Linked DNA regions of Macaca fascicularis. The protein of the gene in region 1 purifies or fractionates together with the protein of each later gene. This does not show direct contact. Links are inferred from orthologs where the notes say so. Each region holds a gene or a part of one and is shown on either strand. Other genes may lie near its edges. The genes, in order: FBXO7 and COPS6.

Region 1 (3,813 bases):
CAAGCCTATCAGCAAAAAAGACTCAGAAACATAATTTAAATATACAGCAAAATATTCTTACTCATTCCCCAGTTTACCTCTGTGAGGCAGAAACACACTGATACAACAATAATTTTAAAAATAAACTAAAATCCACATATCTGGATATAATTTTCACAACTTACCAATCTATTAAAAAGTATTTTTTAATATGTCTATACTTAATGCCATGACAAGTTACCATGAATACTTATACCCAAAAATGTTTAAGGTCAGCAATTAAGTTGAGGTGATAAGTGTACATACAAAAAACAATTAACAAGATGGCACGTGTATTGGTATTAAAAAACTAAAAGTGATCATCTGCACCATTCAAACAATTAAAAGGTCGGATAAAGGCTGGGCATGGTGACTCATGTCTGTAATCCCATTACTTTGGGTGGCCAAGGTGGGTGGGTCACTTGAGGTCAGGAGTTCAAGACCAGCCTGAGCAACATGGTGAAACCCCATCTCTACCAAAAATACAAAAATTAGCCAGGCATGGTGGTGTCTGTGGTCCCAGCTACTTGGGAGGCTGAGGTGGGAGAATCACTTGACTCCAGAAGGGTAAGGTGGCAGTGAGCTGAGATTATGCCCTATACTCCAGCCTGGGTGAGAGAGTGGTACACTGTCACACAAAAAAAAAAGTGGGAAAAATGATGAGGCATGTACAAGGCAATAAAGATAATCAGATAATCAATACAAAGAAATTAAAGAAAACTATTGGGCTATGGTTGGCAAGGGCTTAGGAAGATGGGTAGAAAATATAGACAAGAGAGGGAGGAAAGGTAACAGGTTCCAGTCTGGGTGAACAGTAAGATCAAAGTCACAAAAGCAGTCACCAGGTTGTGTGTATGCAGATGCATGCAAGCAGGTGCATGTGCTGGCTGGTGGGGGCGGGGGGAAATGATGGTCTGTTCTGATTGGAGATGACAGTTTAAAGGAGGGAAGAACAGAAACTACCCCTAAAAAAGTTGAGTGGAGTAACTTTCCAGAAAGCCTTGAGCACCAGGTACAGGAGGACAGACGTCATTTTCCTCTTCTGTAAAATGACAGGGTCAATGAACTAGAGATACATGGTATTTTTCAGCTAAAAAATTATGAGCACAAGTTTATGAGAAAGAGTTAATGAAAGCCAGCAAGGGAACAACAGCATCAGAACCATGTAGGAAGAAGGCAAACCCAGAAAACAGACTGAGGAATAAAGCCATTGGAACCCGAAATGGAAAAGAAAAACTGACAAAGCTTATTAATGGGCTAGATTTAAGCAGTCAAAAATCACAGAAAACCAGCAGTGCCACTGACAAAGAAGGGAACATGAGCACACATATTTCCAAATTTATGTTGAACATATAAAGTCTGCAATGACAATTTAAAAATGCAAGTATAAATATCCTGCAAGTCATTTGGAAATAATTGGACCACATCCATAGCCTTAATGAGCAGACCAGATCAGAGAAGCAAGGCTAGGAATCATGAGCTTAGGAACAGTAATAGAAGTCAAGGGATAATTCATCTGAAGGACAGTATGTGAACAAAACAAGCAGAAACTAGGTACTTTGGGATGCCAGCCCCATATTGGTATAGGCATTTAGCAGTTAAAAAAATATATTCTATAAAAATATAATCTGCAGTCAGGCACGGTGGCTCATGCCTGTAATCCCAGCACTTTGGGAGGTCGAGGCAGGAGGATCACGAGGTCAAGAGATCAAGACCATCCACACCAACATGCTGAAACCTCGTTTCTACTAAAAATACAAAAACTAGCTGGGAGTGGTGGCGTGCACCTCTACGCCCAGCTACTTGGGAGGCTGAGGCAGGAGAATCGCTTCAACTGGGAGGCAGAGGTTGCAGTGAGCCGAGACTGTGCCACTGCACTGCAGCCTGGTGACAGAGCAAGACTCCGTCTCAAAAAAAAAAAAAAAATATATATATATATATATATATATATATGAAAAATAATGTGCAATCTATTGATGATAATTATCCTGACTGGAACAGAATTCAACTGAGGTGTTCAATATGACTTATCACCTACTCTATTTGATATATTGGTCTTTAATACCCACCGTACTGTCGTCATTCCAAACATCAGACTGGGCTGCCTGTCCTTGGAATGAATCACTTGGTTGTTCATCCTGTATGCTAGTCTCATTGGAGCTGGTGGCCAAAGAGGGTTGGTCATTATTCTGGAGTGAAGAATGCTCTGAATCTGTGGATGAAGGTAAATTAGGCGCTGGAATGTCATCTTGAAGAATCAAACATATCAAGTCCCCAGAAACAATCCCATAGGAAGCCAAGGTCTCTTCATCTCCAGTGAGGGCATCCTTGTAGTTCAATGTAATTGTAAATCGGGTATCAGAACTGCCAAGAAAGATGGATAAGCACAGTAAGAGCTACCTACTTCTGTTACCTTCAACAGCACATCTGAAGCATACATAAGCACACAGTATGACCCTAGAAGAACTAAGTCATGAAGAGACAAGGTCTCGCTATGTTGTCCAGGCTGGTCTCAAGCTCCTGGCCTCAGGCAAGCCTCCTGCCTCAGCCTCCTGAGTTGCTGGGATTACAGGCATAAGCCACCATGTCCAGTTACATTTTTGTTTTTGTTTGTTTTTTAGAGACAGGGTCTCACTCTGTTGCCCAGGCTGGAGTGCAGTGGCACAGTGGCACAATCACAGCTCATGGCAGCCTCAAATTCCTGGGCTCAAGCAATCCTCTCACCTCAGCCTCCAGAGGAGCTAGGACTATAGGCACAGATGACCCTACCAAGCTTAAAGTTTTGAGAAAATTATCAAAATTATTTATCAATGAATGCCTAATCTATAGATTTCTAATGGCCAAAACTCTCCACCTGGGGGACAGGATACAGTAATTCTCTATCATTAATCCATGCTTTCCTCAATTCTAAGATGTACTTTTTTGTATTTTGACATCTTTGAAATTAAGATGCTTCCTAGAATCAATCACATATCAACTGACAGCATTTTTCCCCTGCTGTTACATAAAACAATGTGTCTTCCAAGTGACAGCATGTAAGATTCAATGAAATACCTTTAAAATACAAATTAGATCACATCATTCCTTCACTTAAAATCTTCTAATAGCTTCTATTTGGAATCCTTAACATAACTTCCAAAGCTCAACGTTTGATCTCTTCCCATTTCTCCTACTGCATCCTATGCCATCCGTCCTCTCTCACTGTTCTCTATTCACATGAGCTTTCCATCAGTTCCAAAAAGTAGATCAACTTTATTGCAGCCTTCGGGCCTCTGCATTTGCTCTTCCAGATCTTCAAATGACTGACTCCTCCTCATCATTCCAGTCTCAGCCCAAATGTCACCTCTTCAGAGATGCCTTTCATTCAGACTCCAGCACTCTCTATTCTGCTATGCTCTACTTGGAAACGTCATTATCTACTTAGCTATTATCTGTCTACCCTACCCCTGCTACTAGAACTTCAGTTTCATAAGATCAGGGATCATGTCTGAACAGTTCAAACCATATCTTCAACACTGGCAAATAAAGTATTTGTGAAATAAATGCAACCACCAAACATTAGTTGGAAAGATCAAGATGAGTGTGAAATCAAGGATGTCTATTCAATATCCTTACAGGACAGTTTACTCACAATGGTCCCAAAAAACCAGATCCATATATTCATAATCACAAAAAGTTAGGGGAGTGTATGTATATGACTGAGTATAAATTCATCTCTCTTACTGATGATGACAAGCTAAATTCACCCTTCTACTGACTGTCAGTTATGAGGCCTTTTAGTGGAACACAGCACAA
Region 2 (4,434 bases), on another chromosome or scaffold:
TCACGATGAACCTCGATGAACATCCAAGTTGACAAACCAGTGTGGTGCCTAACAGAGAGGACAGAGCCACCAGCAGGGGTGCTCGGGGGCTGCTCCCCTTTATTATTAATGACAGCGGTTTCTCTCAAGTGTAGCGCCCTCCCCTTTGGGACAGTTGCCTGACCCCTGTCCATCAGCCCTTCAAGTACCCTCCTCAGAAGAAGAGCCCGCGCATTCGCCTGCCGATGCCTTGTCGATCATAGAGGACGTTGAACTTGTTCACAAACTGGTTCATGGTGTTGCACGTTTTCGTGATGGTGCCGAGGTAGGCCATGAGCCCCACGTCGTTGCATTGCTGGGAGGGAACAGAAAGGACAAATTCCTCAGGGGATCCCTCGTGGCATGCCCAGGGAACAACAGTCCCCGGTCCTCCACGTGAAAGTGACAGCATGAGCCCCACCTCCCCATCCAGGTTTTAAACTCACATCATAAAAATCTGTCTTGAACTTGTCTGTGCTGAGCACCGGGAGGCAGTGACACAGAGCATAGGCCTCCCGCAGGATCTCATGATTAAAGGGGACCTCTCCTAAAGGCACAAAAAGAGGCTGCATTAGTTTGGATGCTGTCACTTCCCCAGGAGGGAGAGGAAGAATGCCAGGGAAGTGCCCAAGGAAGCCCCTGTCCTACCCGCTTCAGAGGCCTTGACGTACTCCAAGATGAGCTTGACGCGGCTGTGCAGCATCTTGATGGCGCTGTGCTGTGCTATCAGGTGTTCAGCCACTGCAAAGGGACGAGGACAGGAGGAGGTTGAGACGGGATGTGGCCACACCTTCCAACCCCACTTCCAAGTAATCCCCTCCATTACCAGTGGAGTTCTCTCCACTGCCTGTTGCTGTCATTCGGGCTACGTGGTCTACACCAATGCGTTCCGCTTCCTCTGTGGCCAGAGTGTAGGTCAGCTCAGCAAACAGCATTGTGGCCTACAAGGCAAGGTAACCCACAAAGGGAGAATCAAAAGCAGGAAAGAGGCCAAAAGCAGGATCTGAGGGTTCAAGGGTAGGGTATTACCTCTCCATTGATTATATCGATGACAGACTCAAAAACGCTGACAGGAAGCTGTGAAGGAGATGGAGAAACCTGAACACTATATGCCAACATTTGGACGAGCTGCTTTCACCCATTTCCTCTCATCTCATCTTCCCAAGAAACCAGTGAAGTAGGGATTACCTCCCTTCACAGTTTGGAGATGAAATGACTAAGACAGAGTTACAGCTGGTAAGTGGCACCTGGCATTCCCCAATAGAAGAGTATCACACAGTAAAAGGCAACAGTGACAATCACGACAGAGTAGGCATGGGGTATTACTCACATCTGTGTGCTTGGTCATAGGGTTCAACTTCAGAAAGAGGGGGCTCTCAATGATCTCACACACCTGGAAGAGAGGGACAATGCACAGAAGTCAGTGACCCCCACCTTTCTCCTTCCCCTCATTCTCCATTCTCTGCCCCAGCATGCACAGGTGTGAGCATGTATACCTGCTTATGGACGTGGATGTCCGAGGGGTCAGGTGGCCCCCCTGTGGTATACCAACCCAGAAACTCCAGCTCCTTGAACACCTGTTTAACTGGAGGGGAAAGGGCCAGAACACACAGTAATTCTTTTTTTTTTTTTTTTTTTTTTTTTGAGTCTTGCTCTGTTGCCTAGGCTAGAGTGCAGTGGCACGATCTTGGCTCACCACAACCTCTGCCTCCCAGGTTCAAGCAATTCTGCCTCAGCCTCCCGAGTAGCTGGGACTTCAGGCACGCACCACCATGCCAGGCTAATTTTTGTATTTTCAGTAGAGATGGGGTTTCACTATGTTTGCCAGGCTGGTCTGTAACTCCTGACCTCATGATCCACCCGCCTCGGCCTCCCAAAGTGCTGGGATTATAGGCCTGATTCACTGCGTCCGGCCTGACATAGTCCTTTAAACCATCCTTCCTCAATGTGAAACTCCTGGTGTATTTTCACCAGCTTCTCCTCCTTTCTCAAATCCTGGCTCAGTTTAGAATAATTACTCCCTTCTATCCTGTCTTCTCTCATCCTTTACTTTCTTTTTGAGAAAGAACTCTGAACGTGTTCTTTTTCTGAGATCTCTCCAGCTACTCTCTTCACTTTTTCTCCTCTGTTCTTGGCGTCCTCTCGGGTTTCTTTCCAACCCTCTCCATCTTCCCCACCTTGCACATTTTTTTTAACTCCCACTCCTCTTCCCCACATCTATTCCACTCTCACACTGCTCCTCCTTGGTGTAATAATATTCCTTGTCAATTATAATCTTCTCTTCCACGGTGTGGGACAGCAGCTCAAAGGAGTTCATCACCTCGATATTTCGGCCCTCCTGCTTGCCAATCAAAGCCCCAATCACTGGGAAAGAGAATGACATGGAAAAGGTAACGTTAAAGAGACTTCTATGACCTGAGGGTCTGAGATGAGTGGGAACCAAGTATTGGGGAAACGATGATTTGGGGGAGGGGAATTGGATCTAGTAAAGGAAGGGGAAAAGACCACTGTCTGGGGGAGGTGAGCAAGGAGAGGAGACTGGAGTCTATGCCCAACACTCACCCTGCACAGGCCGCCCCTCCTGGGAGCGCATGCGGATCCAGTGGTCGGAGATGTTGAGAATGACAAGGGGATGGAGAGCGACGGAAACACTCCCAGTCACTCCGGAGGCCATCACGCTGGGAACTACTAAGGGTGGAGGGAAAGAGAGAGGGTGAGAGTCCGGGCCCCACGTTCTTCCCTGAAGATAGCAGTGGGGGACGACGGAGCCCGGGCCACACTTTTCCTCCCGCAACTTATCCCAGAGAAAGATGTTGCTGCTCCGCCCTCCTCCCTTCTCCCGGGAGCACAGCAAGGCCTCAACGCACCCCTGAAGGAGGTCTCCGGAAGCCGCCCGCGCACGGCCCGTTACCTGCTGCATCCACCTCCATCCCGCTGCTCCCTCCGGTCCCGTTTGTAGCTGCACCCGCCGCCGCCGCCATTTTCCCCGCGCCCGCCAGCCTCGGCCCCGCCCCCTTCCTTCCCGGCTTCCGTAAGGCGAGCAGCGCATGTTCTGTGTCTCCGCGGCAAGCGGCGGGCCTGGCGTCCGGGGAGCAGGCAGTTCCCGGGTCGCGGCGGGCGGCACTCGGTGCGGGGAAGCCCGACGCCCTCTGGGCCTCGGTGCCTGCCGGTTTTCCCAGACCCTGTCCCCGCCTGTCGCCTGCGGGTGACCTTGGACAAATTAGTTAACGATTTGATTGATCGTCCTCGTCTGTAAAATTGGGATAAGAACTCCTAGTTCTTAAGGCTGTTGCAGAATGAATGACATGTCGTGTTATTTCCCTCACAATAAAATCCAGACAACTAACCACAGCCTGCAAGGCCCTGCCTGATCTGGCCCCGGTCTGGCCTCTACTTTTCTAGCCCTTGATCTTCAGGCTACAGCTGCACTGGCCCTCATGTCTGGTGGTGGTGGTTTGTTTTGTTTTGTTTGAGACAGGGTCTCGCTCTGTCGCCCAGGCTGAAGTGCAGTGGCCTGATATCAGCTGACTGCACCCTCAAACTCTCAGGCTCAAGTGATCCTCCCATTTCAGCCTCCCGAGTAGCTGGGATTACAGGTGCACCCCACCACACCCAGCTAATTTTATTATTATTTTTTTATTTTGATAGAGACAGGAGTCTCACTAGGTTGTCCAGGCTGGTCTCCAACTCCCTGACAGAAGCGATCCTCCATCCTTGGCCTCCCAAAGCACTGGGATTACAGGCATGAGCCACCACACCCAGCTCTCCGTGTCTGCTTTCCACATGCCTCACTCTCGCATTCAGGAGCCTGTGTTTCCTTCTCTTGTTCATCGTGGTATCCCCTGTGACCAACACGGTACCTAACACATTGGTGCCTAGATACTTTTTGAGTGAATGAAGGAATAATTTGGGATGGAATCTGGTGTTGAGTTGCTCCATCTTGTGAAAGTTGCAGATACCAGGACAAAAATCACATTGTCAAGTCCAAACAAATTGGAGTCATGAGAACACCAAGCAGAAGGGCTCATGCTTGCATGTCTGATATAGGGACTGTCTCAAGGACTTTCGAAAATAACCCCACAAGGCCAGGCATGGTGGCTCACACCTGTAATCCAAGCACTTTGGGAGGCCGAGGCTGGCCAATCACTTGAGGTCAGGAGTTTGAGACCAGCCTGGCCAACATGGTGAAACCCTGTCTCTACTGAAAATACAAAAATTAGCCGGACGTGGTGGCATGTGCCTGTAGTCCCAGCTACTCGGGAGACTGAGGCAGAAGAATTGATTGAACCTGGGAGGGAGAGGCTGCAGTGAGCTGAGATCGCACCACTGCACTCCAGCCTGGGCGAGACAGAGTGAGACTCCGTCTCAAAAATAAATAAATAAATAAATAAATAAATAAATAAATAAATAAATAAA

What was found.
Region 2: the proteins of FBXO7 (region 1) and COPS6 purify together in Homo sapiens (affinity purification with mass spectrometry; 4 studies listed by BioGRID and IntAct, counting the BioPlex papers as one, with this or other methods). This does not show direct contact. The link is inferred for Macaca fascicularis from reciprocal best matches to the Homo sapiens genes FBXO7 and COPS6.

What each region holds. Positions count from the first base shown.
Region 1 is NC_088384.1:19,146,188-19,150,000, forward strand, and holds part of FBXO7 (F-box only protein 7), read right to left. Parts: intron 2,383-3,813; coding exon 2,088-2,382; intron 1-2,087. UniProt on the Homo sapiens protein: Substrate recognition component of a SCF (SKP1-CUL1-F-box protein) E3 ubiquitin-protein ligase complex which mediates the ubiquitination and subsequent proteasomal degradation of target proteins and plays a role in several biological processes such as cell cycle, cell proliferation, or maintenance of chromosome stability.
Region 2 is NC_088377.1:48,741,839-48,746,272, reverse strand, and holds COPS6 (COP9 signalosome complex subunit 6), read right to left. Parts: upstream 3,013-4,434; 5' UTR 3,000-3,012; coding exon 2,930-2,999; intron 2,707-2,929; coding exon 2,581-2,706; intron 2,383-2,580; coding exon 2,251-2,382; intron 1,604-2,250; coding exon 1,515-1,603; intron 1,412-1,514; coding exon 1,349-1,411; intron 1,096-1,348; coding exon 1,048-1,095; intron 960-1,047; coding exon 845-959; intron 760-844; coding exon 667-759; intron 566-666; coding exon 465-565; intron 335-464; coding exon 194-334; 3' UTR 75-193; downstream 1-74. UniProt on the Homo sapiens protein: Component of the COP9 signalosome complex (CSN), a complex involved in various cellular and developmental processes.